Linked DNA regions of Cricetulus griseus. The protein of the gene in region 3 purifies or fractionates together with the protein of the main gene of each other region. This does not show direct contact. Links are inferred from orthologs where the notes say so. Each region holds a gene or a part of one and is shown on either strand. Other genes may lie near its edges.

The links.
Region 1: the proteins of Ctbp2 (region 3) and Foxp1 purify together in Homo sapiens (affinity purification with mass spectrometry; 3 studies listed by BioGRID and IntAct, with this or other methods). This does not show direct contact. The link is inferred for Cricetulus griseus from reciprocal best matches to the Homo sapiens genes CTBP2 and FOXP1.
Region 2: the proteins of Ctbp2 (region 3) and Znf217 purify together in Homo sapiens (affinity purification with mass spectrometry; 7 studies listed by BioGRID and IntAct, with this or other methods). This does not show direct contact. The link is inferred for Cricetulus griseus from reciprocal best matches to the Homo sapiens genes CTBP2 and ZNF217.
Region 4: the proteins of Ctbp2 (region 3) and Zeb1 purify together in Homo sapiens (affinity purification with western blotting; 5 studies listed by BioGRID and IntAct, with this or other methods). This does not show direct contact. The link is inferred for Cricetulus griseus from reciprocal best matches to the Homo sapiens genes CTBP2 and ZEB1.
Region 5: the proteins of Ctbp2 (region 3) and Hdac2 purify together in Homo sapiens (affinity purification with mass spectrometry; 5 studies listed by BioGRID and IntAct, with this or other methods). This does not show direct contact. The link is inferred for Cricetulus griseus from reciprocal best matches to the Homo sapiens genes CTBP2 and HDAC2.

The regions. Positions count from the first base shown.
Region 1 is NC_048601.1:45,049,366-45,053,106, reverse strand, and holds part of Foxp1 (forkhead box protein P1), read right to left. Parts: intron 2,673-3,741; coding exon 2,528-2,672; 3' UTR 1-2,527. UniProt on the Homo sapiens protein: Transcriptional repressor. Can act with CTBP1 to synergistically repress transcription but CTPBP1 is not essential. Plays an important role in the specification and differentiation of lung epithelium.
Region 2 is NC_048599.1:9,187,418-9,192,201, forward strand, and holds the start of Znf217 (zinc finger protein 217), read left to right. Parts: upstream 1-1,552; 5' UTR 1,553-1,889; intron 1,890-4,784.
Region 3 is NC_048596.1:67,722,926-67,727,667, reverse strand, and holds the start of Ctbp2 (C-terminal-binding protein 2), read right to left. Parts: upstream 3,249-4,742; intron 3,156-3,248; exon of another isoform or gene 3,097-3,155; 5' UTR 2,878-3,096; intron 2,826-2,877; coding exon of another isoform or gene 2,733-2,825; intron 2,458-2,732; exon of another isoform or gene 2,437-2,457; intron 1-2,436. Other genes in the region: translation initiation factor IF-2-like, read left to right, coding at 2,733-2,825, 3,249-3,610, 3,720-4,332. UniProt on the Homo sapiens protein: Corepressor targeting diverse transcription regulators. Functions in brown adipose tissue (BAT) differentiation. Isoform 2 probably acts as a scaffold for specialized synapses.
Region 4 is NC_048596.1:208,795,022-208,799,781, forward strand, and holds the start of Zeb1 (zinc finger E-box-binding homeobox 1), read right to left. Parts: upstream 3,036-4,760; 5' UTR 2,982-3,035; coding exon 2,924-2,981; intron 2,750-2,923; exon of another isoform or gene 2,384-2,749; intron 1-2,383. UniProt on the Homo sapiens protein: Acts as a transcriptional repressor. Inhibits interleukin-2 (IL-2) gene expression. Enhances or represses the promoter activity of the ATP1A1 gene depending on the quantity of cDNA and on the cell type.
Region 5 is NC_048595.1:259,837,277-259,842,087, forward strand, and holds the start of Hdac2 (histone deacetylase 2), read left to right. Parts: upstream 1-1,637; 5' UTR 1,638-1,852; coding exon 1,853-1,904; intron 1,905-4,811. UniProt on the Homo sapiens protein: Histone deacetylase that catalyzes the deacetylation of lysine residues on the N-terminal part of the core histones (H2A, H2B, H3 and H4).

The DNA.
Region 1 (3,741 bases), on a different chromosome or scaffold from region 3:
GGAATGCTACCTTTTCGTGTGTGTGTAAAGGAAAAATGCTGACCAAACCGTAGTCTGAGAAAGGAAAAACAACAACAAAAAGCAGGAAGAATCTAGAACTAGAGGATATATGTGCCAAGATAAAACAAAACTAATGCAGTGATCACAGCACAGCCCTTAAACAAAAGTGGCATACCAATGTTCTAAAAAAAAAAAAAAAAAAAAAAAAAAAAAAAAAAAAAAAAAAAAAAAAAAAACCAAAAACAAAACCAAAAACTCTTTATTCTAGAAGTGGCCTAGTGCAGTCAGACACTTTTCTGTTCTCCTAAGTCATCCTAAGTGTCTCCTTGATTTACACACTAATTTCAGCATCATACATTCATTTCTTTTTCTGAGATGGTATCTCATTCTTTCCGTAGGAGCTATAATACTGTTTTCCTGTTTGTATTTTTTTTTTTCTCTGCAGTAGCCCCATATTTTCTCCTTACAGGAGTTAGTTTTGGTCTCTGTACAAGTACAGAAAAGGAAAAGGAAAAAAAGTAGAAAAAAGTAAAAAACTTTGGTTCCATTGCCTACTTAGTCTGCTAAATGAACTCTGTTGGAGGGGCAGTTATTTCCCTCGGGTTGGCAAACAGCCTGGACCTCATCATTTGCCTCTGAATCCTTTTGCCTCCTTTGATCAACAATAAGAGGATATTTGGCTTCATCAGATAAAGCATAAAAGAAAATAATTTACCTTTGCATAATATCTTTGGTAATTTTAGAAATAAAAGGTACAAAGTATATAAATTAAGCTTCGAAAGGCTCTCCAACTAAACCCAAACAAAAAGCTACAGCCCTAGATAAATAAATGCCAGGGAAGTGGGTGCAGATGGAAGTGTGGAGGGGTTTGAAGGGCTGAGGGGTATACCGACCTAGAGCCATCGAATTCTGTGGGCCCTGGTCCCAGAAGCCTCAGTCTGTCTACTGGTGTCACCTGTTAAGTCTGTGCTACTCGGGTGGTGTGAGACTATCACACTGCAGGCTCAACTGCAGTGTAGACTCTGCATCCTGGAAACCAACACATCACCATCTACTGGGCTCAGTGCTCATTAGCTCCCATAATAAGTGCAAGGTGATGTCTCGTTTGCATTAAAATAGATGAGCGCCACCAAGCTGGTCTCAACCGATGCACAAACTCAGCACTATCACCATGTTGAGTAAAGTTAGTCAGGGAAGCTGGCTTTTTGGTCATTTTGCAAACAAAGCAACCCCTGCTGTTAAGGACGACACAGAATCTGTGGTCCTGGCCACTTGATTATAAGGGGGTGGGGGGGAGAGCCTTCCGTGGTCATCATGCCAGTCTAATTATTAAGGATTGTTTACTCTTGTCATCGTCTCCTCTTGGCTGTGTTTCCTGACGTTGAGAGAATGTGGCAGCAGTTACTCACAATGGCGGGCTCTATGAAAAGAAAAATCTCCAACATTCCCATCCCACCCCAATACTGCTTTTGTGAAATGAATCTGCTATGTTCCTAGAGTATGTGCGTGTGTTTCTCTCTCCTTTTCTGTCATTCGTTCTCTTTCTGGCAGGACACCATGTCCCTGTGAGAGGACCTTCAGGTGTAAGGTGCAGCCTTTGGGATCTTTTTTTTTTTTTTTAATTTTTGGAAAAAAAGACCAAAACGGAATGTTTTGTTTTGTTTTTTTAAACTTGAGAGAAACGTGGTGATGTCTATAGGAAAATGGAATGAGTGCCAGAAAACTACAGACGAGAAATGACATTCAGCTTTGTATAATAAAAACACCTATTAACATTCATCACAAGGTACAGAAAACGTGAAGCCTCCAAGAGGCCATGGGCCCAAATGGAGGCCTGAGGTCAGAACTTAAAATGGTATAGAAGAAGCAAAAAAAAAAAAAAAAAAAAAAAAAAAAAAAAAGCAATACATTAAAAAGTTTGGGATAATTATTTTTAACCCCTCCCCCCAATAAACACACAAAGGCCTTCCCCATCCCAACTGGAAGCAAAAACAAAAACAAAAACAAACAAACAAAAAGAAAACCAAAGTGAGTAAAGGCAGTGATATCAACATGCAGTGCTGTGCAAATAGGTCGTCCACTGGAATCTTGAATTCGGGCGAAGGCTTGGTCTGCGGCGCAGGTGCGCGAGCTCAGTCGGGTGTCCTCGGTGTCGGCCTTGGCAGGACAAAACTGCAGTTCAAAGTCTGCTGCTAAAAGTGAATCCGTTTATCGAATTTACAACACTGATGTTGACTCAAAGAGGAAAATCCCAAGTACCAAACAGGTCCATCCAATGCACAGAGTACAAATCCCTTTTGTCAACAAAAAGTAGAAAAATCAAAAATACTCCCAAATGGGATTCTTGATGGCACTAAGAGTTAACACATTTCAGAGTTGTCAAAATGTAGCGAAAAATCCTCCAGACTGTACAACAAGCGGAGAAAGGTTTCACTGCTAACTTTTGACGTGTTATTTTTTTTTTTAATTTGTTTTTGTTTTGCTTTTTTCCCAATCTTCTGTCTCAGGGGTCGGCCCGCCCAGAGGTTCACTCCATGTCCTCATTTACTGGTTCGTCTTCATAATCTCTGTCATGGTCAAAATCTGGACTGTGGTTGGCTGTTGTCACTAAGGACAGAGGCCCTTCCGCTTCCTCAGGGTCAAGGGGTTCCTCTTTGACGTGTACAGGGTGCCTACAGAGGGAGAGAGAAACAGGCTTAGAGGGCTTCTGGATTGATGTACATACAACTGGTGTTGGGGTAACTTAGAAGATGTATCCTATAGCAACAACACTATCCAGTAGAGGCAGAGTCACCCTGGCCACGTGTGTTTTTCAAATATGGTGGGAAACTTGCTATAACTTCATGTCTGTTGTCATTTTCACTGCCTACATCCCAAGGGTCTAGGGACCACATGTGTCCAGGGGCTTCTGGGCCACTCAATGAAAGATCTGGTGGACATCCCTGTTTTAGGAAGGATTCTGTACAGAAATTATTTCTCCTGCTTTTCAGGACGCATGAGTTACTGGAGGGCCTTGTGACGTACAGCGGATGGAGCTCAGACTCTGTGTTTCTAAGAGATTCCGGGTGATGGTGCTGGTCCTGGGACCACACTTCGGAGTGCCAAATAACAGGCCTCGTAGAGACATCCTGGGTGGATGAATGCCACCCTGCAAGTAATTACGTGAAACGGGAATCTGTAATACGGCAGTGGTTCATGGGGACCACTGAGCACAGGAGGCTGGCTGGGCTAATCATGACTCGCTGTGTGTTCTGCTCTGCTAGTTAACATGCAGACCCTGTGAAAGAACCCTCCAGAGGACGACCCCAAGCGAGGGTCTATCATTAATCAACTTCAAGCAAACACAGCAGAGAGACACCATGATACATGCTTGAAGCTCCAAATTAATGCATATTTTTACAAACTGTCAATAAGGCAAGAAAAGCCCTGCCAGGAAACACAAACGGAGAGGAAAAGGCTTGCTCAACACAACGATATGATAAGAGAGCAGAGCCCCAATCAGAATAATAACACTGTCAGCTGTAAACAAGGCAAAACATGAGGCCCGGCTGGTAGCCGCCACCCGGACACTCCAGCTACCTTGAGAGCTGCCAACTTTCTCATTATGGACTGGGGCTTGGTTCATCTAAAGGAGGCTGGCATGATCACACAAAACCTCTCTGATAACAACTGTGAAAAGCTGTTCGTAAATCATATTTACAACTGATCTCTTGCAAATACAAATGACTTTCTGTTTCAGGG
Region 2 (4,784 bases), on a different chromosome or scaffold from region 3:
GCTTTTCAAGACAGGGTTTCTCTGTGGCTTTGGATCCTATTCTGGAACTAGCTCTTGTAGACCAGGCTGGTCTCAAACTCACAGAGATCCTCCTGCCTCTGCCTCCGGAGTGCTGGGATTACAGGCGTGCGCCACCACTTGTGTAAGGATTCAGACATTATGCTGGCCTGCCCGCAGTACCCTAGTCAGGCCAGGGTTCCATGGTTGTGTACTCTGCACGCAGGTGCAAAGGACCCCTTTGAAAGAAAGATCCCCACCCACTTAAACTCTCTTCTCTTTCCTGCTGTCTCCCTCTTCTCTTCTGTCCTCTCTCTGTCTCTGTGTCTCTTTGCCTCTTTTCTCCCTCTGTCTGCCTGGCATGTTTGATCCCCGCCTCGGTCAACCTTGGCCGCCATGGAATCTGACAAGGTTCCCCTCAAGCTTTATCATAATAAATTGAACTCAGGACCTCTGGAAGAGCAGTCAGTACTCTTAACCTCTGAGCCATCTCTCCAGCCCCCATTGCCTCTATATTTTAAGTGTGGAGATTACAGGTACTAATCATTCTGTCTTATGTACAGTTAACAAAACTAGAAATAGACATCTACCAAGACGAAAACACGGGAGGCAAAGGCAGGCAGTGCTTTGTGAGTTCAAGGACCCCCAAGGCTGTTACACAAAGAAACCAGAGAGAGAGAGAGAGAGAGAGAGAGAGAGAGAGAGAGAAGCACACAGTTTGAGGAAGATGAGATTTAAGTGGGGAAACAAGGCAAGTGAGTATGAAGGTGCACACCCGTGAGGCAGGGGGATCACTAGGTCCAGACCAGCCTGAGGGAAACTCTGTGTCTAGATAAACAGACAAACACAGGAGGACCACGGAAGGCAATACATTGGGAGGGGGAAGATTGGGCTCCCCCATTGTACATAATGATATTTTTCAAAATGGCTTACCAATGAAAAACCCTGTCAGATCTGTTGTGTCCTTAGGGTCATTCTCTATTAAAAGCTCTGGCTAAGTGTGGTGGCACACTTTGACCCCAGCACTCTGGGATTAAGGAAACCCTGTCTGGAAAAACAAACACAAAAGCAAACAAACACTACCCCCCCAAAACAAAAAAAACAAAAAAAACATGGCCAGGAGGTGTGGCTCTTTCCTTCAGACATTAGTACTGTAGAGGTTGACTGTAATTCCATTTTAGGGGGCTGAAGCAGAAGTGCCATGAATTTCACCAGCTGGGACTACACAGTGAGAACCTGGTTTCGTTTGTTTTCTGTTTGTTTACAAACAAACAAAAACAACAGAAGAGGAAACACACCAACAACAGAGTCCGCTGAACTCTATTCTAAGTAACTGTGGCTGTGCTCGAATCTAGTATTTACAAGGGGAAAAAAAAGTTCTGTGGGAATATGATATTTCCTTTAAGATGCAATAGTTTTGCCACCTACTTTCCCAATCTGATCAAGTATGCCCCCTTGGATGGCCATGTAATCTCACTTGGAAATCTTCCTCAAGGCTTTGTCTTAAGAAGAAAGATCATAGTCTTGGTTCCAGTAACTGGTACTAAAAAGGAAGCTTCTGGCCACCAGGGTTACAATCATTTGCCTATGAATAGCTGAGGAAGTCGTTTTGTTGTTGTTTTATGTTATTATTATTATCATGCTTCTTATTATTATTTATTGACAGTGTCTCACCGTGTATCCCTGGCTGGATACTTGCTATGGACTACAGTGGCTTCAAACTCACAGGAATCCTCATGCCTCTGTCTCTGCAGTACTGGGATTAAAGGCATGCAACACCACACCCTGCCAAGACAGCTATATTTTCAGATTGCTCCAGTGTTTATTCCTTACTGTGATCTCCAAATACTCGGGGTATGTCTGAAGTCTTGAAGATCAGACGTCTTCATCCGGTAAGCATTAGGAAAGAGATTGGTGTTTAACAGAATAGAGCAGAATGTAACAAATTAAGCAGCACCATCTACGGTCCAGGCTTTTTTACCGTTGTCCTGTTTGTGGACCTCTGGGGTGTTGAGCATGCTGCGTGTTGGGCGAAATGGGAACTGCACTGGCGGAAGTGGATGCCTCTGACACTGCTAATTAAGGAATGTGGAACCCTTCCTTTCTGAGTCAGCACCGAGGTATGTAGAACTCTGCCCAGCTCTCTGCTTACTGCATGGAAGTTTAGAAATACAACCAGAGTAGAGTGTCTTGCCTTTTAACGTTTAAGAAGCAGGAAGGAGGTGCAGGGTGTGTGTGTGTGTGCCCTCTCAAGTGCTGGTTTAAACAGTCCCTCATCTTTGGAAGGGTTCAGGGTAGCTGGCCCTTTTATCATCGGATCATGCTTACTGCGTGGATTCTGATGGCACATTGCTGTCCCAAAAGAGCATTGTATGCACCAGTAACAAGCCCCAGTTTTCAGTCACTAGAGTTTCATAACAAGGAAAACATCTCACAAGGTTGTTAAGATTTTAGTTTTAAATTTCTTTTTGGGCAAAGACATCTTTCGTTTCAAAGGTTGCTATTGGCAGGTTTATGGGAAATAGAGAAAAACAGGAAGTAGAGAAAAGGTCATTCATATCCCATTATTGAAAAAAATGACTATTTAGAGTATTCTGAACAAATTTGAGGTGCATGTAAATAGAATAGCAAAAATAGTAGAATAGTCCTCTCCAAACCAGCACCTGGCTCTATAATTTCAATGTGTTAGCCACAACTGTTTCAATTCTCTCCTTTTATAATTTGGGAAAATATTATAAATTTTTATTTATCATGTCAGTTTTCTATAGGTTTCTGTATATATCTTTAAGTATATATATAGTTATGTATAATTTATTAAAGAATTTTACACATTCCATGTTTTACAGATAGTTTGTTGGTATCACATAATATTTAATCCATACTAAAAATTTCCCTAATAAGAAAATGTTTTCAATTCTTTCTTTGTTCTTCACATTTATTTATTTATGTGTATGTACATACATGGGACACATGTGGAGGCCAGAGGACAACTTTTGGAAGTGAGTTTTTCCCTTTTCCCTGTGGGTCCTGGGTATTGAACACACACAGGTCATGAGGCTTGGCACCCAGTTCCTTTACCAGCTGAGCCATCTCCCTGGCCTGATTTTTCTTTTATTCTTTTTTAGGGGAGGAGGTGTTTTGAGACAGACTTTCTTTATGTAGCTCTGGCTGTCCTGTATCTCACTCTGCAGACCAGGCTGGCCTTTAACCCACAGAGGTTCACTTGCCTCTGCCTCTTTACTGCAGCGATTAAAGGTGTGACCAGAGATGCTGGGCTGATTTAAATTTCTTGTTTATTTATTTTGGTTTTCTCTCTGTTATAAAGCCTAGGCTGAGCCTCTTGCTTCAGTCTCTGAAAGGCTGCAATTTCAGGCTTGGACCATTTGCATGGTGGATTTAAACATTTTTCATGTGTTCCAGCATTCTTCATCATCATCTTTTTGCTTTCTTAGAAAAAGATTTGTAGGTTTTTTTTTTTTTTTTTTTTTTGAGACTCAGAGATCCTGCCTCTGTCTCCCAATTTCTGGGTAAGCGTGTGTGTCACTATGCCTAGCTTAATTTGTATTATTTATTTATTAATTTTTGTTTTTTTGAGACTTTGTTCCCTGAGTAGCCTTAGCTGTCCTGGAACTTGATTTGTAGACCAGGCTGGATTCAAACTCACTGAGATCCACTGGCCTCTGGAGTACTGGGATTAAAGGCATGCACCACCACCTCTGGGCTTAGTGTAACTACATCTTGGATTTTCTATTTGCTATCAAAACTATCTCCCAATGGGCTACTACAAATTAAAATAAAGTTTCAATTAATTAATTTATTAATTAATTTCAGTAAGGGTCTCTGGTAGCTCAAACTGTCCTGGTACTTACTGTGTAGCCAAGCATGACCTGAAACTCCAGATACCCCTCCTCTTGTCTCGAAGTACAGGGGTCACATAAAGCTCTGATTTCATCTTTTTTGTTGTTGTTGTTTTGTTTTTCGAGACAGGGTTTCTCTGTGTAGCTTTGGAGTCTATCCTGGCACTCGCTCTTGAGACCAGGCTGGCCTGGAACTCACAAAGATCCGCCTGCCTCTGTCTCCCTAGTGCTGGGATTAAAGGCGTGTGCCACCAACGCCCCGCTCTGATTTAATCTTTAAAAGATTTATTTCATTTTTTATTTATGGGTATGTGTGTGTACAGGTGTGCAGGTACTAGGTGAGGCCAGAATAACATGGGACCCCATGTTAGAAATTACAGGCAGGTTGTGAGTGGCTGTTGCTGGGTTTTGGGATCTGAACTCTGTAAGAGCTTCAAGCCTCCTAATGGCTGAGCCCTTTAGGAGGGGCTGAGTCCAAGTTTTGATTTTAAAATGGCTGTGCCTGCTAGTGTGGAATAACTCCTTTGACTTGGGGAAGCGTGGGCATTTTATCTCTGTAGCTATTGTTGCTGGGCAATCTCCTCTCCTAAGAACTCTTTCTCCTCCGGGCCTGGGTCCTTAGGCTCCCTCCCAGCGCGGTCACTGCTGAATCCGGATGTATGAAGTCTGTAGGGCCCTTGCCTGTCTCCCCGCTATGGTACACGCGGACTGTACCAATTTACACCTCCATTTACAAAGGCTGAGCGAGGCCCTAGGAAGATGCTTCAAGGCGGAGCCTTTCAGAGTTCCTATAAATCAGTGGCCGCGGGAGGCCGCCTTGAGCTAGTCACGTGACGGTGCTCTTCTGAAAGTAAATACACATTTTCTTAAGCTATAAAAACATGGGCTTTGAGCACTGCCAAACAACCACAAAGTGACTTGGATTAAAAG
Region 3 (4,742 bases):
CTCAGCAAGGCACACCACACCGCCCTCCACTCTCCCTTATTAACGTGCCATTACAAGGTGTGGGGGGTGGGGTGGGGAGGATATACTTCTCCAGTTTAAGTATCTCCCCAAACAAGAAACCAAAACACACCTTGTCAGGTTCGGAACTAGCTCCAAACCTGAGACCTTTTAATTCCCTCTAATAGCTGCTTTCCAGAGACGTACCTCGGCTGGGTCCCCTACCCCTGGGGCACAGAAAAACCAATCAGTGTCATAAATCCCCCTAGCTTTCAACCCTCTCTCTTGAACTGGGGCGGGTGGGGGGAGGGGCGACCCAACATCAACACTTACACTAAACCCCTCAATGCTCTACAGAAATATGCTGGCTTATTTCCTTTGTTTGGTCATGTTATACTTGATCAAGTGTGAACGATTAGACTGGTTTCATTAAAGGCAAGTACATTCACGGCTAACATTCAACTTCAATGGCGACTATAAGCATATTTTGTAAGAGGGAGGACCTGCTTCTTGCTTGAAACCTACCAGCTCATTAACTTTTCTTTGGGGGGCCATAAAAAGGGCACTGGGGGTTTTTTCCAGGAGTGTGTTACAGCCAGACAAAAGGATATTCAATGTTCCAACTTTAAGATACAGTTGCTATTTAGGAAACAAACAAACAAAAAAAGGAAACCTTGTTTTCGAATTAAAGTTGCTAGGGCTGAAAATGTTGAATTAGCATGTAAAATATTACTTTGTAATTGCTGTTAAGAAGTACTCTTTGAAATCAATTGATTATAAAAAAAAAACAAGATCCTTTTAAAGCCCCATTACTCAAGATGTAAAAGATTTATTTTGAAAAATGTTTGAAATCAGAATTCTCCGAAGTAAATGGAAATTAGTTCTTTGAGAATCTATCTAAAGGCAAACAGCAGCCCCAGGAGCCGAGCGCGAGGTAAAATTTAAACTGTCTTTGAACCCAGCACGAAGAGAGAGAAGGCGGTATCTCCTTCGAAAAGAGGTCCCACAGTTGATGCATCCCGTCAAAGTTAGAAAGCAGAACCACTTTTGTAATCCCTCCACCCCAATGCAATGTTCCCTCAAAACCACCCACCTCAGATAAAAATACACACGACCCAAAGAATCGCAAATAAAGGAGTTCAGCATTTTAAATTTCCAACGCATCGAGTTCTTTCCTACCCTTCAAGACACTCGCAACCAAGGACTCTCTAAGAAGTTCCCATTTCTGATTTTTAAAGAAAAGAGGGCAAATATCCAGGAAGGTCTGTTTCCCCGAGGTTGGGAGCCTGGCGTGGCGACGTAGGCCACTGCCAGCAGCCTCCTAGCACGCATAGATTTCACGAAATATTCCCCCCGATTCCCTACAAAATCCCAAACGTAGGGGTACCCTGGAGCCAACCGCTGTTTGGGCCGCCTCTGGGAAAAGTAAGGGGTGGGGGCTGGGCAGGGGTACCACAAACACGCGCGCGCTCTCACCCTCGGTGTCTGCCACCATCGTCTCTGGCGGAAAGCAAGCCACCGGAGGGAGTGTGTGCGCGCGAGTGTGTGCCCGCGGTGACCGCGCCAAGCTCTAGGGCCCGCGGCCTCCGAGCCCCTGGGCGCAGCATGGGCTGCAAGCGACCGGCCACGCCGCGGGGCCTCCCGGAGGAGCAAGGCCTGAGTGCGCCGACACTCCCGCGCTGCCCAGCCCCAGTAGCCCGAGGCACTGGGGAGGGCGCGAGCCGGAGAAGAAAGGCTCTTCCTGCGGGTGAGTCCGGCTCCGCGGAGCACACCAGTAGCAGGAAAGCGAATGCGGCGGCCCGACCGTGCCCACGCCACGCTGGGTCCCTGGTGCCCAAGGCGCGCCCCAATCAGCCCCTTCTACGAAACTTTCTTTTTTGCTTCGCCCCACCCGAAAAGTGCGGCCCGGGTGAGGGCGCCGAGGACAGCCGGCGCAGGGAGAGGAGGAAGTGGTGCCCGCGGGAGCGCGGCCGGGCAGAGGAAATGCCCGCGCCGCCCGCCCCCGCCCTTGCAGCCCGCCCCGGCCCCCCGCCCCGCCGCGACTTTGGCGGGCCGAGCCCCGCGCGCCACTGGCGGCGGCGGCGGCAGATGTGGCCCCGGCTGCCCCAAGGAGCCAACAATGCCGGGCCGGCAAAACAAAAGGGATCCGCTTCGCCTCCTTCCCGGCCTCTCACTTACACTCTCGGGAGCCGCACGGGATCCCGGGCCGACAGGGGCGCGCCCCCAGGGGCCCCGAGCCACGCGCGCCCGACTTGTCCCCGCCGACCCGTCCTCTCCTTCCCCTCCACCCCCGCCCGCCGCACGCCCGCCTCACAGGCGCAAGGCCTGCCGCACCCCGGTACGCTCGGACTCCTGGTCCCCAGGGATCCGGCCGTATTGTCCCCGCGGCGCGCCGCGCGCTCGTCCAAGATCGCCAGCGGCCCCCGCGCGCCTACCCACCCGGCTCCAGGAGCAAGCCGGGGGCGCCTAGGAAACCGTCGCCAGACGCCGCCGCCGCTGCCCTCCGGACGCCGCTGCGCTCCGGGTTTTTCTTTCCTTTTTTTTCCAATCCTGATGGGAAGGAAGGTGACCGCCTACTTCGCATTCATCAACTCTCATCACAACAACAAAAATCCTGGCGCAAAGGGCGGCCAGCAGGCGCAATCGGTGGCGAGGGGCGGCGGGCGATAACCCCCAGTCGGGCGTCCACCCCCGGGCGCAGCGCGTGGACACGGGGCCGGGGGCGCTGACCAAAGATGTCCTCGGATGCCGGCCCGGTGTCCTTCGCCCTCCTCCTCCCGGAGTGGCGCAGTGAGGCGCGGGCACGGCGCCCCAGCCAGCGGCCGCAGGTGAGGCGGGGGCGGCAGCAGTCCCAGCCCTCCCCGAGGACCCCCCTCTTACCTCGTCTTGGGTCGCCGGCGTCCACGGAGAAGGGCGCCCACCCGGGAGGCGGCGGCGGTAGCGGTGGCTCCCGCCCCTCCCACCCCACCCGGCGGCGGCGGCGGCGGCGGTGGTGGTGGTGGCGCTGGCGGTGAGGCCCCCCCTCAGCGCGGCATGGCTCCCAGCTCGGTCTCCCGCTCCTCAGCCGCCGCTGGCTCCTCTGGGCAGCTCCCGAGCCACCTTAAAATGACACACGCACACAGAGACACACACACAAAAACTTAATCTCTCCAGCTCCGCGCCCCACCCCCTCCCGCCCTCCCCTCTCTTCCTTTCCCTTCCCTTCCCTCCCTTCCTTCCCTTCCCGTCCTCCTCCTCCCGTCGCCGCCGAGCCTCTTCCTACTTCCCCACCCACCCCACCCCCTTCCCCCGCCCACCGGCTCCCGATCCCCCCCCCATCCCGGCCGCGCGCCCTCTCGCCAGCCCTGAGGCCAGGCGGGGGCTGCGCTGGGGGTCCCCGGCCCGAGCCCGCGCCGCACCGCGCTCACCCCCCAGAGGATGCTGGCTGCAACTTGGATCTGGGGAGGGAAGGTCCTAGAAGCCAAGCGCCTCCCGGCTATTTGCTCTTCTTTATTTGTTTTCTCCTCCCGGAAAGGAGGAGGAAAGCGCAGAGAAAAGGAAAGGGAAGGACGGAAGCGGCGCGGGCCGCTGCTCCGGTGCCCTCCGGCTGCGCAGGAGCGAGGCGGGAGGCGAGGTGAGGGTCCCCGCTCGCTCACTCGCTTTTTTTTTTTTTTTTTCAAAGGCGGGGTCTCTCTTTGCAAACCAATGACACAACCCCACATGGTCCGGTCTCGCCCCTACAGATACTTCTCACTACAAATCGGCTCTCTCCAGGGATTAGCGGCTACGCGAAAGTGCATACTGGCGCTGCGGGCAATCGAGGGGGCCGGGCAAGGCAGGCACTCCCCAGCCCAGCCCCATGCCACCCGGGAGGCGCGGGGGTCCCGAGGCCGGTGCGGTGATTCCACCCGCCCTAGCCTTCCTCCTCCGCCCCTTCCACGTGGGGCCCGCCACGTGGGGAGACGCGAGCTCCAGCGGGCCTGGCCGCGGTCCCCCGGGTGGCCCCGGCTCGGTAGGGCCCCACCACGCCCGCGCAGCAGACCTGCCCTCTACTCGGCCCCGAGGCTCCAACTTCCTCCTGGGCCCTGCGCAGGCCACCGGTGCCGTCCCAGGCCCGCGAGGTCAGGCGCGGGCCGGCCACAGGGGGCACTTGCGTTCCCCGATCCCAGATCCGGGAGACCGTGCCGGCTGCGGGTGCGCGCGGAGACTGTTCTGTGTGCTGGAACTTGCCGCGGTGTGTTCGCTATGAGAAGCCAAGTGTTTTTACATATTTTTTTAAAAAAAATGTCTTTCTACTGTCTGTATGTCGCTGGGGCTATTTTGAAAGCCTTGCCTTGGGTCGGATCCCCAGCATGAGGCCTTGGGGGTCCGAGGGTCGCTTGCGCGGTGCCCTTTCACGAGTCCACTAGTGTCTCGGTGTTCTGCGTTTGGAATCTGGACTCCCAACGATGATGGGCCACTTCGGCTGCGCGGGACTAGACAGCATCTGGGCTGGATTCCTTGGCCATGACCTGCGACATCCGAGCGCTGTCCCCGGAAGGGAGCCAGCTCCTTCGCCCAGGGCCTCCTAAGCTTACTAACCAGACTAGGTGGGAGGCTTCTAAGGACCACAGGGGCGCTGAGTAGTGCCCTTGGGTGCAATTGTTTTTAAATCTTTTGTGGGTGCTAGCGACTTGAGATGTTGGGCTGAATGATCGAGAGGAGGGGTCTAATGTCACAGCTTTGAAGGCCACAGAGAGTGCCATTCAGAGAGCCACTTTGAGTGG
Region 4 (4,760 bases), about 140 Mb from region 3:
AAAATGTTTTGCTGCTGGCTTAGCTGTAAAATCTATATACCTTATTTCAAAAATTGAATACAAATATAATCTATACATAAATAACAAAATATCTCTATTACTATCTCCTACTGTATACACCACTATTTATTCATTTAAATAAAATTTAAGAGTTAATATCTTTCCAGATAATTCTCTCCCCAAACAACTGCAACTTAAATATGACTGCGTTGCTAAGAAATATCAGTCAGCACCTATTCCCAGATTTCACAACACAATGCATATAACTTCATTTTAAATTTGCAAAAATAGCAGCTAAATCAAACAGCATGGCTGCAACGGTCAGCGATGGATGAAAGCATTAGAGAACAAAAAGAAATACAAAGAGAGAGCCAAAAGTGATGAAAATGGAAGATACCTGTGGTAGCACAGCGCTATCTCACACACCTTTTGTTTTCTCGGAGTAATGCATACTGCAGTCAAGACATTTCAGGCTCAAGAGCCCCAAATCTGTTTTTCTAATATTAAACACAAAGGAAGAACACTGACAGCAAACGTGGTAAATAAATCCCTCCCCTGAGAAGGAAGGCGGCAAACAGGAGGGGGCTGACATACATGCAGGAGAAAACTAAACACCATCTTTTTTCTACCTGCACAAGTTGCCATTTGCTGCAGCGATCAAGAATCTCTTTCCTGTTGATTTCAAGCACCTTTCGGGATAGCTTTTCACCCTTAAGTCATCTGTTGATATGCCTTATGTGTGTGATATTAATATCACAGGATCTCTAGGAGAAAAATCCATTCTTTCCTGTTCAGGTAAACATGTTTACAGCAGCTGCACAGACGCTGGGTGGTTCAGACTCACATGTCACACACATGTCGTCAGCAACAAGAAAAGCCCCTTTCTCTGGCGATCAACATTTTAAATAAGGTAAGGTCAACGAACAGCCCTTTTCTAACCAACTTACCTTTCATAAAGCCACATCAGCAATAGCGGCAACAGCTCAATGTAGAACAGACACTATTTGACGCTAGAAGCAGGAAATTACAATTGCAGTAGCCTGTGCTCGGGTCCTTGCCACAACCAGTCACCTCTCCACAATGACGCTACACACCTTTCCCTCTGAACGAACAGGCTTCTCTGAAACGCAACGTTTTTCTGAACAACTGAAAAATCATTCATGGCAGCGGGGATTTTAATGTAGGCACAGATATATTCAAAATGTGTTTACAACAGAGAGGAAACCTCTTTGGAACAGCCTAAAATCTTCCTATCTGTTTCTAGACAGGAAATCCCACACAAAATCTAAAATTGCCAGGAAAGGTTACAAAACCTGGCGTTTGGCATCCCGGAGGGGAGGGAGCAAGACAGACCAGGCGGGGGTGGGGCGCGGGGGGCGCGCCAGGGTTGCCACTTAAACAGGATTTCCTAGTTCTCCGGACGCCACATCGATGCCATCAGGGGCGCATTTATTCCCCCATTCTTAAAAAACAAAACAAAACAAAAAAACCCTCGTCGTTTAACGCCCCGCGGGAGCCCCACGGAGCCACCGGGTGCGAAAGGCACGAGGAATTCCTTATATAGCAGCGGCCACAGCAGCACAGGGCTGTGGCCGCCCATCACCACACACAGGTACCCGGGCGGGGGCATCCCCCCGGGCCGCCGCCGCAGGGACTGTCCAGACAATGACCAAGAGCAGACGGCTGTCCGCGCCGCGAGCCGAGAGCACACACTCGCCTAGGAGAGGCACCATCCAGCAACTCTTTCGCCTCCCCACGCTGGGAGAGCCCACGATGCACCCACCGATACAGGTCCGGGTGTCGCGCTCTCTCCTGGTGCCTGTGGCTTTCCCTCTTTCTTAAAAAACAAAACAAAAACAAAAAGACCACCACCACTAACAACAACAACAACAACAAAAAACTCTGCAGCCAGGCCAAGGAGTATTTCCCTGGCACATTCGCGCAAATCAATACCCCGCGCAGCTGCACCGCCAGCCGCAGCCCCGTGCGCCCGTCGGGCCGCCCGCCCCCTCCCCCACCCGCCCCACTCGCGACCCCGAGCGCCAGCCCAACTCCCATTATCTGCCCTCGGCTCGCGCGTCCGGCCCAGGTAACAACTTCCCCAAACCGAAAGAGTCAAAGCCAGGCGCATGCACACAGCCCCGTGCCCGCGGGGACTCGGGCTGCCCGGGCGTCCCGACCAGTCTTGTGCTGCTTCCCGGCGGCGAGCGGCAGGCGGCGAGTCCACGCACACGCTCGCCCCACGGCAGCAGCAGCTAGGAGCCGCCCGACCCTGCTCAGCCCACGACGGTCACCGCACGCGCCGACTTCCAGCCCCGCGAGCGCCCGGCTAGCGGCGTCCCCGCGCGTCCCCATCCCCGCCCGCCCGCCCGCCAGCCCGCGAGCGCGCGAGGCGCAACTTTACCGCGGGCGCCCGACCCGGCGCGCAGCGCCCGCTCCCGCGCACACGCGCGCACGGCCGACACGCAGCCGACACGCAACCGGCCCGCGGCCGCCCGTCCTCTCCCGCCCGCCCGCCCCGCAGCCCGCGCGCCCGCCCGCCCGCCGCAAGTTTGTTCCCCGCCGCCGCGGCCTGCGCGGAGGGAGGATCGCGCGCGGGGAGACGCCGAGGGGCGGCAAGAGTGGAGAAAGTGCGGAAAGAAGCAACAGCCGCTCCACCCGCGGGCGGAAAAGTGGCCGGGCGCGGCGGCGGGATGCGGCGCGGCTAACGGTCCCCGGCGGCCGCGCGAGCCGCTAGGCGCAGAGGCAGGTAAGACATAACGGTCCAGGACGGCGGCCGCGGCGGCGGCGGCAGCGGGGCGCACTACTTTACTTTCCCACTCCACTCGGCCCGGCCCCGCCGCCGCCCCCGGCCCGCTCGGCCCAGCGCCCCTCGCCCGGCCGCCCGCTGCCCGCCGCCGCGCCGGGCCCCTCCGCCACTCACCGTTATTGCGCCGCGGGTTCGCCTGCTTTCTGCGCTTACACCTGGGGCCATCCGCCATGATCCTCTCGCTTGTGTCTAAATGCTCGAGTCACCTCCTCCCCCTCCTCCCTCCCTCCCTCCCTCCCCTTCCCCCCCCCACACCCGCCGCCTCCACCCCTCCCCCTCCCCACCGCACCTGGTTTACGACACTCGCGGCTTTACGACATCACCTTCCTAACACCTAGCGGCGCTCGCTCTACGGCCGGAACCTTGTTGCTAGGGCCGGGGCGGTTTGCGGCAGCTTCGGACGCTGCGGAGTTTGAATTGGGGAGGCGAGGGAAAAGTTTTGCTCAGGTGTGATGGGGTGACAGAGGAGGGTGCTGACACCCCGGGGACCGGGCCGGGAGGCGACAGGGTGGCCTCGTGGACCAGGTGGAGCTGGCGGCGTGGGCCACACCCGCGCGCAGACCCCCGCGGACGGGTGCGCACTCCTCGGATGCCGCGCGCTCCAGCTGTCGGCGCGGCGAGCCGCGCGTGCGCGCCGGGGACGTGGGCAGCGTGGACGCGCGGCGAGCTACCTGGCCAGTTCTGCCTGACTCCCCTCCCCTCCCACAGACGCGCGGGTTTCCCCGGCCTACCCGGACGGGAAGTGACAGCAGTTGGGTTGAACTTCATCTGGACAGAGAAGGAGGCGAGAAATTCCGCTCTCAGGAAAGCAGCATGAGTAATCCCCGCACGGTGCCAGGCTCACTTCCTCATCCGCGCCTACCTCACCTGCTGTCACCTTGCCTACCCCGCCCTGCAGGGGTCCCAGGGTGGCCAGGCTGTGGGCCTTGAGACTCGCCCTTGAGGCATAAGCACCCTAGGAGAGCAGTCCTGGAAAACGTATTAATCCCAAGTGCCAGAGAGAGAGAGAGTGTGAGGCAGGAGGATGGCCAAGTGTTCGAGGCCAGCCTGCACTACAGTGGAGCTCTGCCTCAAAATAGCTAGAGTTTCACACACACACACATCTGAGCAGTACAGTGTCCTCGAGGCTAAAAGCAAAGCTGAGGCTGATTTTTACCTGAAGTCCGTGACTTTGTACAAGACCCAAAATGCCTTGATTCTCGTCTTCAGTAATTAGGATTTAAGTTTACCTTTCTCGACAGGCGTTGGTGGGTCACGCCTTTAATCCCAGCACTTGGGAGGCGGAGGCAGCCGGCTCTCCGTGAGTTCGAGGCCAGCCTGGTCTACAGAGAGAGTGCCAGGATAGGCTCCAAAGCTACACGGAGAAACCCTATCTTGAAACACCCCCCCCCCCAAAAAAAAAAAAACAAAGAAAAGAAAGATCTGGGCTAGAAATGGGCCTTCCCACTTCAAATGATTTAATTAAGAAACAAGAAAAGTAAATTTACCTTTCTCTCCCTGTTTCCCACCCCTTTTAAAGGGGGAATTGTATGGGGCAACTTTATGAGATAAATGACCTAAGCCATTATTTCAAATATGTAATTATTAAATGTTAGTGTATAAATGGGAGAGTTGTGGATAGAAACAACTGAAACATGCCTTGGAGTATAAGGAATAATATACTAAACCAGCACAGTGCTGATGCATGAAAGCTTCTTGATAAATTTCTGCCAACAGATTTTGCCGTGCCAGAGGCAGGATATTGTGTGACTAGTCATGGTGACATATACCAGCAGTCTATGCTTATGGGAGGTAGAGACAGGAAGGTCACAAGTCTCAGACCAACTCTGTTTAGTGAGAGTCTGTCTACTCCCAAAAAACACCCTCCAACCCCCAGTGTTAAGAGAGTCATTAGCCAGCTGTTGGTGGGGCACACCTTTAACCCAGCACTAGGGAGGTAGAGGCAGGTGTA
Region 5 (4,811 bases), on a different chromosome or scaffold from region 3:
CAAAAATGTCTCCCTCAATTATGATATCTCCATTCTTGTTATCATGTATTCTTCCCCTGACTCATACTTTCTGCTCCCTCATGTCCTCGGCATCCCTCTTCTTCTCCCCTTCTCATTCTCCTAGCTCCCTCCCCCTTCTTCCTGTGCTCCCAATTTGCTCAGCAGATCTTGAACCTCTCCCCTTCTCCAGGGGACCATGTATGTCTCTCTTAGGGACCTCCTTGTTTATTAGCTTCTTTGGCAGTGTGGATTGTAGGCTGGTAATCCTTACTCTTAAATCTAAAATCCCATATGAGCGAGTACATACCATGTTTGTCTTTTTGCGATTGGGTTACCTGGCTCAGAATGGTTTCTTCTAGATCCATCCATTTTCCTGCAAATTTCAAGATTCCATTGTTTTTTTTTTTTTTTTTTTTTTCCGCTGAGTAGTACTCCATTGTGTAAATGTACCACATTTTCTCTATCCATTCTTCGGTTGAGGGGCATCTAGGCTGCTTCCAGTTTCTGGCTATTACAAATAGTGCTGCTATGAACATGGTTGAACATATGTCCCTGCTGTATGAATGTACTTCTTTTGGGTATATGCCTAAGAGTGGAATTGCTGGATCTTACTTTAATATCACCTCTTTAGGGAGGAGGCAGTGTGCTTGTGTGCATGTAGAAGGAATTATAAATGGTAATAGTTAGGAGATGCGAGTGTTGCATTAGACTGTCAGCTCCCATCCTTTCCCTGGGCCTTGCAGGATGGCTTACACAGGTGCTCAATAAATGTCACTCTATTAAACACAGGGACTCAATTTTTCAAATCCTTTCTTTGGATTTCTGCTCTTCTCCCAGTGCCCAGCCAATACCACATCCAGTCTGATGCAGTAGGCAAAGCATGTGGAGTCTGATAAAGTTCGACACCCCTCCGGTCCTCAGACCATTCCTTAGCCGTTGACAGCATCACACTCCCCCCATCTACTGGAGCCTATAAAGAAATGGACATGCACGTGAATGCCAGCACTTTTGACAGCTTTATAAACACATATCGGTGCTCAGAACCGTGCTTATACTCAAGTCCCACGAATACTTATTCAATCCAGGAGGTACAACCTGCCATTAAAGTCTCTAAGTCAGTAACGAAGAGTTATCAGGGGCTGAGGAGGGGAGGAGAACACGCGAATCTCGGAAGGCGTGAGAATCTCCGACCACCACACAGCGGGAGAGCACCACCTTCTGAAGCCCTGGGGAGTGCTCAAGCGGGTTCCTCTCGGGGTCCCCGCGGCACGTGGCGGGCTGGGGCCGGAGCGTCGCGGTGGTGGGGGAGGGGAGCGGCGTGGGCCCCGCGGAGGGGTCCAGACAGCCCGGGATACGTTTGAGCAGGCGCCGAGTGCGCAGGCTCAGTCCGGGCGCAACCAGTACCTGCAGATCGGAGGGGGAACCCGACGGCTGCGGGGGTCCGGGCTGCGAGCGCGGAGCCGAGATCCGCTCCCTCGCACCTCGGGACTGCGTACGACCTAACTGTCACTACACCCCTCCCGCCCCATCCGGCGGCGTCCACGCCTAACCGACCCCTGCGTCCGTCTGCAGACGCGGTTTCCCCTGTCACTCCATAGTGGTCGCGCCCGCCTCCCAGCCCCGCCACCCTGGGCCTCCCCCGCCGAGTGTCGCGCGTCGGCGCCGCTGCCACCCCCGCTCGGTGATCACTGCCTTCCCGGCTCCGGCTCCCATCTCGCTCCGGGCCGTCCTTGTTCCGCGGGCCGCCGCGCCCGCTGTCCCCTCAGTCCCCCTTGTCTGGCCGCCGGGCCGCGGCGGGCGGGAGCAGCCGGAGGAGGAGCCGCAGCCGGGAGGGAGGCGGCGTCCCGAGCCCATGGCGTACAGTCAAGGAGGCGGCAAGAAGAAAGTGTGCTACTACTATGACGGTGGGTGGCCGTGGAGCCAACGGCGGGGCTGCGGGGAGGGCGCGGCGGAGCGGACGCGCCGCTCGGGGTGTTAAGGGTGGCTGTCTGCGGGGACAGGGACACGGCCTACCCGGCTTCGCGGTCGTGGCCCGGAGACGGCCGCCCTGGCTCCTCTCGGGTCCTCCGCACGGGCACGCGCAGGTTTGGGGTGTACTGCCTCGAACCGGTCCCCGAGGAACCCCACTCGGCACCCCGGGCCTGACTACACAAAGCCGGCGGCCTGGAGCTCCGCCCCACGTCCCCGTCCCCTCCCCCGCTCGCCGGGTCCCCCTTCTTGCTGGCGATCTGTCTGTGCTGCGCTTCCAAGCCTCACCGGGACCCCGCCGCTCGGGTGGGGCTGCGGAGGAGTTACTCCTGGCGGGAGGCCAAGTTCGCAGAGCGGCGCTGTCTCGCTCGTGTTTTGCGTGGACTCCATCCCTCGCCTTTGTTCGCCGGGTTCTTTGAGCGCCTCTTTCTCAGGGTTCGGACTGAAGGGCTGCATGCACTTCCTCGGTGACAATTAGGGGTTTGGAGTTGGAGCTAGGCAGGCCTGTGGGGAAGTAGTAAGAGGAGGGAGGTAAGCTTGGAGTTGTTCCTACTAGATGGGTCCTAGCATGCCTCTGTGGGAGGTTGTTACCACCCACGTCTTTGTTGCTCTTTGTTCGATATGCAGTTATACCCTGCTCTGGGGGGGTTAGGAGAAAACATGGGCACCTTGCTTAGGAAGGGTGGTGGGGACCCTGCTGCAGGAAACTTTTGAGAAGTGAACTAAATATTCCAAACAGGTAGGGTGGAGCTCACAATGTAGTTAGTGAATGGTACAAGGTGGTGGTAAGGGGTGATTTGGAGTATGGGCAATAATTGTCTGAGTTCTATAGGCTGAGCAGGTCTCGGGTCTCAGTTACACTAAGTAATGCCCTGTCTTTCGGATTTCACCAAGACATTAGTAGATGACTGTTGAGAGAAGGAATAATTTGACAGAACTAGCCTCATTGCCCTGAAAGACCTGACTGATAATCTACAAAGCAATGCAAAGTTGGGAGCTGTTTTCTATATTTTTTGTGTTGAAGTCACAGTATCTTGGAGAGGTAGATAAGAGCCTAGAGATCCTAGGCTGAATGAAACTGACTTTAACTTGAAAATAGTCCTACCTATTCTTGGTTTGGTGGAAATTTTTAATGCTTGGATTTTTTTTGGGGGGGTGGTAGGGGGCGGTTAGAGACAGGGTTTCTCTAGGTGTATCCCTGGCTGTCATGGAACTCGATCTGTAGACCAGGCTGGACTTGAACTCCCAGAAATCCTCCTGTTTCTGCCTCCCAAGTGTTTGGGTTAAAGGTGTGTGCCACCCCTGTTGAGCATTAATACCTGTTTTAATAATAATGATAATAATAATAATAATGAAAGACACCCATGTCTTTGGCTGGAAAATCAAAAACCTTGCAGAAAGCTAGGAGAAAATAGAGAAGACTATCTAAATGACATTTTGTTTTGTTTGGGGGCTTTTTTTTTTTTTTTTTTTTTTTTGAGACAGCCTCTCTGTATGTGGTCCTGACTGCCCTAGAATTCACTATGTAGGCTGATGTCTCACTTACAGAGATCCATCCACATGCCTCTGTCTCCACGTGCTGGGATTAAAGGTGAGTCCTTAAAGGTGAGTCCTTAAAGGCGTGCCCAGCTTAAATTTCAGAGGACTATGTATGTGTTGAATAAATTTATGTGAAGTTACACCATCATGGAGGGAAGAGATGGGAGAACCTGTCAGTTTAAACTTGAATTACATTGTGAAGTTGGATTCATGGCAAACACTTGTCCTGCATTCTCTGATCCACTGGAAAAGATGTAACCCTGTAAATGAATTTGAAAAATTATAATTATAGCTTTTCTAAAGTAAAGGCTCGATTTTTGTTAGAAAGGTTTAACAGTCGGAACGGGTGCTTAGGACCTTCAGCTGTCAGCTGCTGTTGTCAAACAGGACTGTAGCTGTTTCCTGAGCAGCTATTGGTTCCTGAGTTCATGTTTGGAGGTGAGCCATTGTTGAGGGGCAGGATAGGCACTGGTCACAGAGATGGGAGGAATGGAGGAGGTTTTCAGTCATTTGATTTTTTACATATGCCTAGTTGTAAGCAACCAACTGTATAACTGATGGTGGAAGTCTGCTGGGTTATCTGTCTCTTGTCTGTTCTTACTTGGTGTGTATTTAGAATACACTTACTTAACTTCTGAATATTTGCATTTGGGGGAGCTAACAAAACCACAGAGATTCTTAAATTGATGTCATGGTTATGCTGATTAACATGGGATGACATGCTAGACTACACAAATTATTCTCTACACTTCTGTCTTCAATGCCAAACCCTATTCTTGTTTTCAAAAAAAAAGCAGTGACTTAATTGTCTTTTAAATTGTGGACAGAGGGTGCCAAGTAAAGTAATTTTGTATAAGAAAAGCATATGACTTTTAGATGCACAAAGGGTTGGGTTGGCAAAGGGCAATACCAGTAGTAATGGGACTTGAATAATATACTAGTTTAAGCTAGCTGGGGTTTTTTGTTCTGTTTTTCGAGGCAGGGTTTCTCAGTGTAGCACTGACTGTCCTGGAACTCACTCTGTAGACCAGGCTGGCCTCAAAGTCACAGATCCGCCTGCCTCTGCCTCCTGAGTACTGGGATTAAAGGCTCATGCCAGCACCATCCCACTCTAAGCTAGCTGGTTTTAACTTGGTTGGTAGAGGAAGTAGAGGGAAGGAAAAGAAAAGCAGTGAAGAAGCAAATCCTGTAACCATGGCTGTCCTCTTCTTTGTAGGTTTAATGGGGCCAATAGGCACACACTGAGCCTCTAGGCAACTTAGAGTGTTTTCTCTGTGTGCTTAATGAAGAATACTCTGAAGATA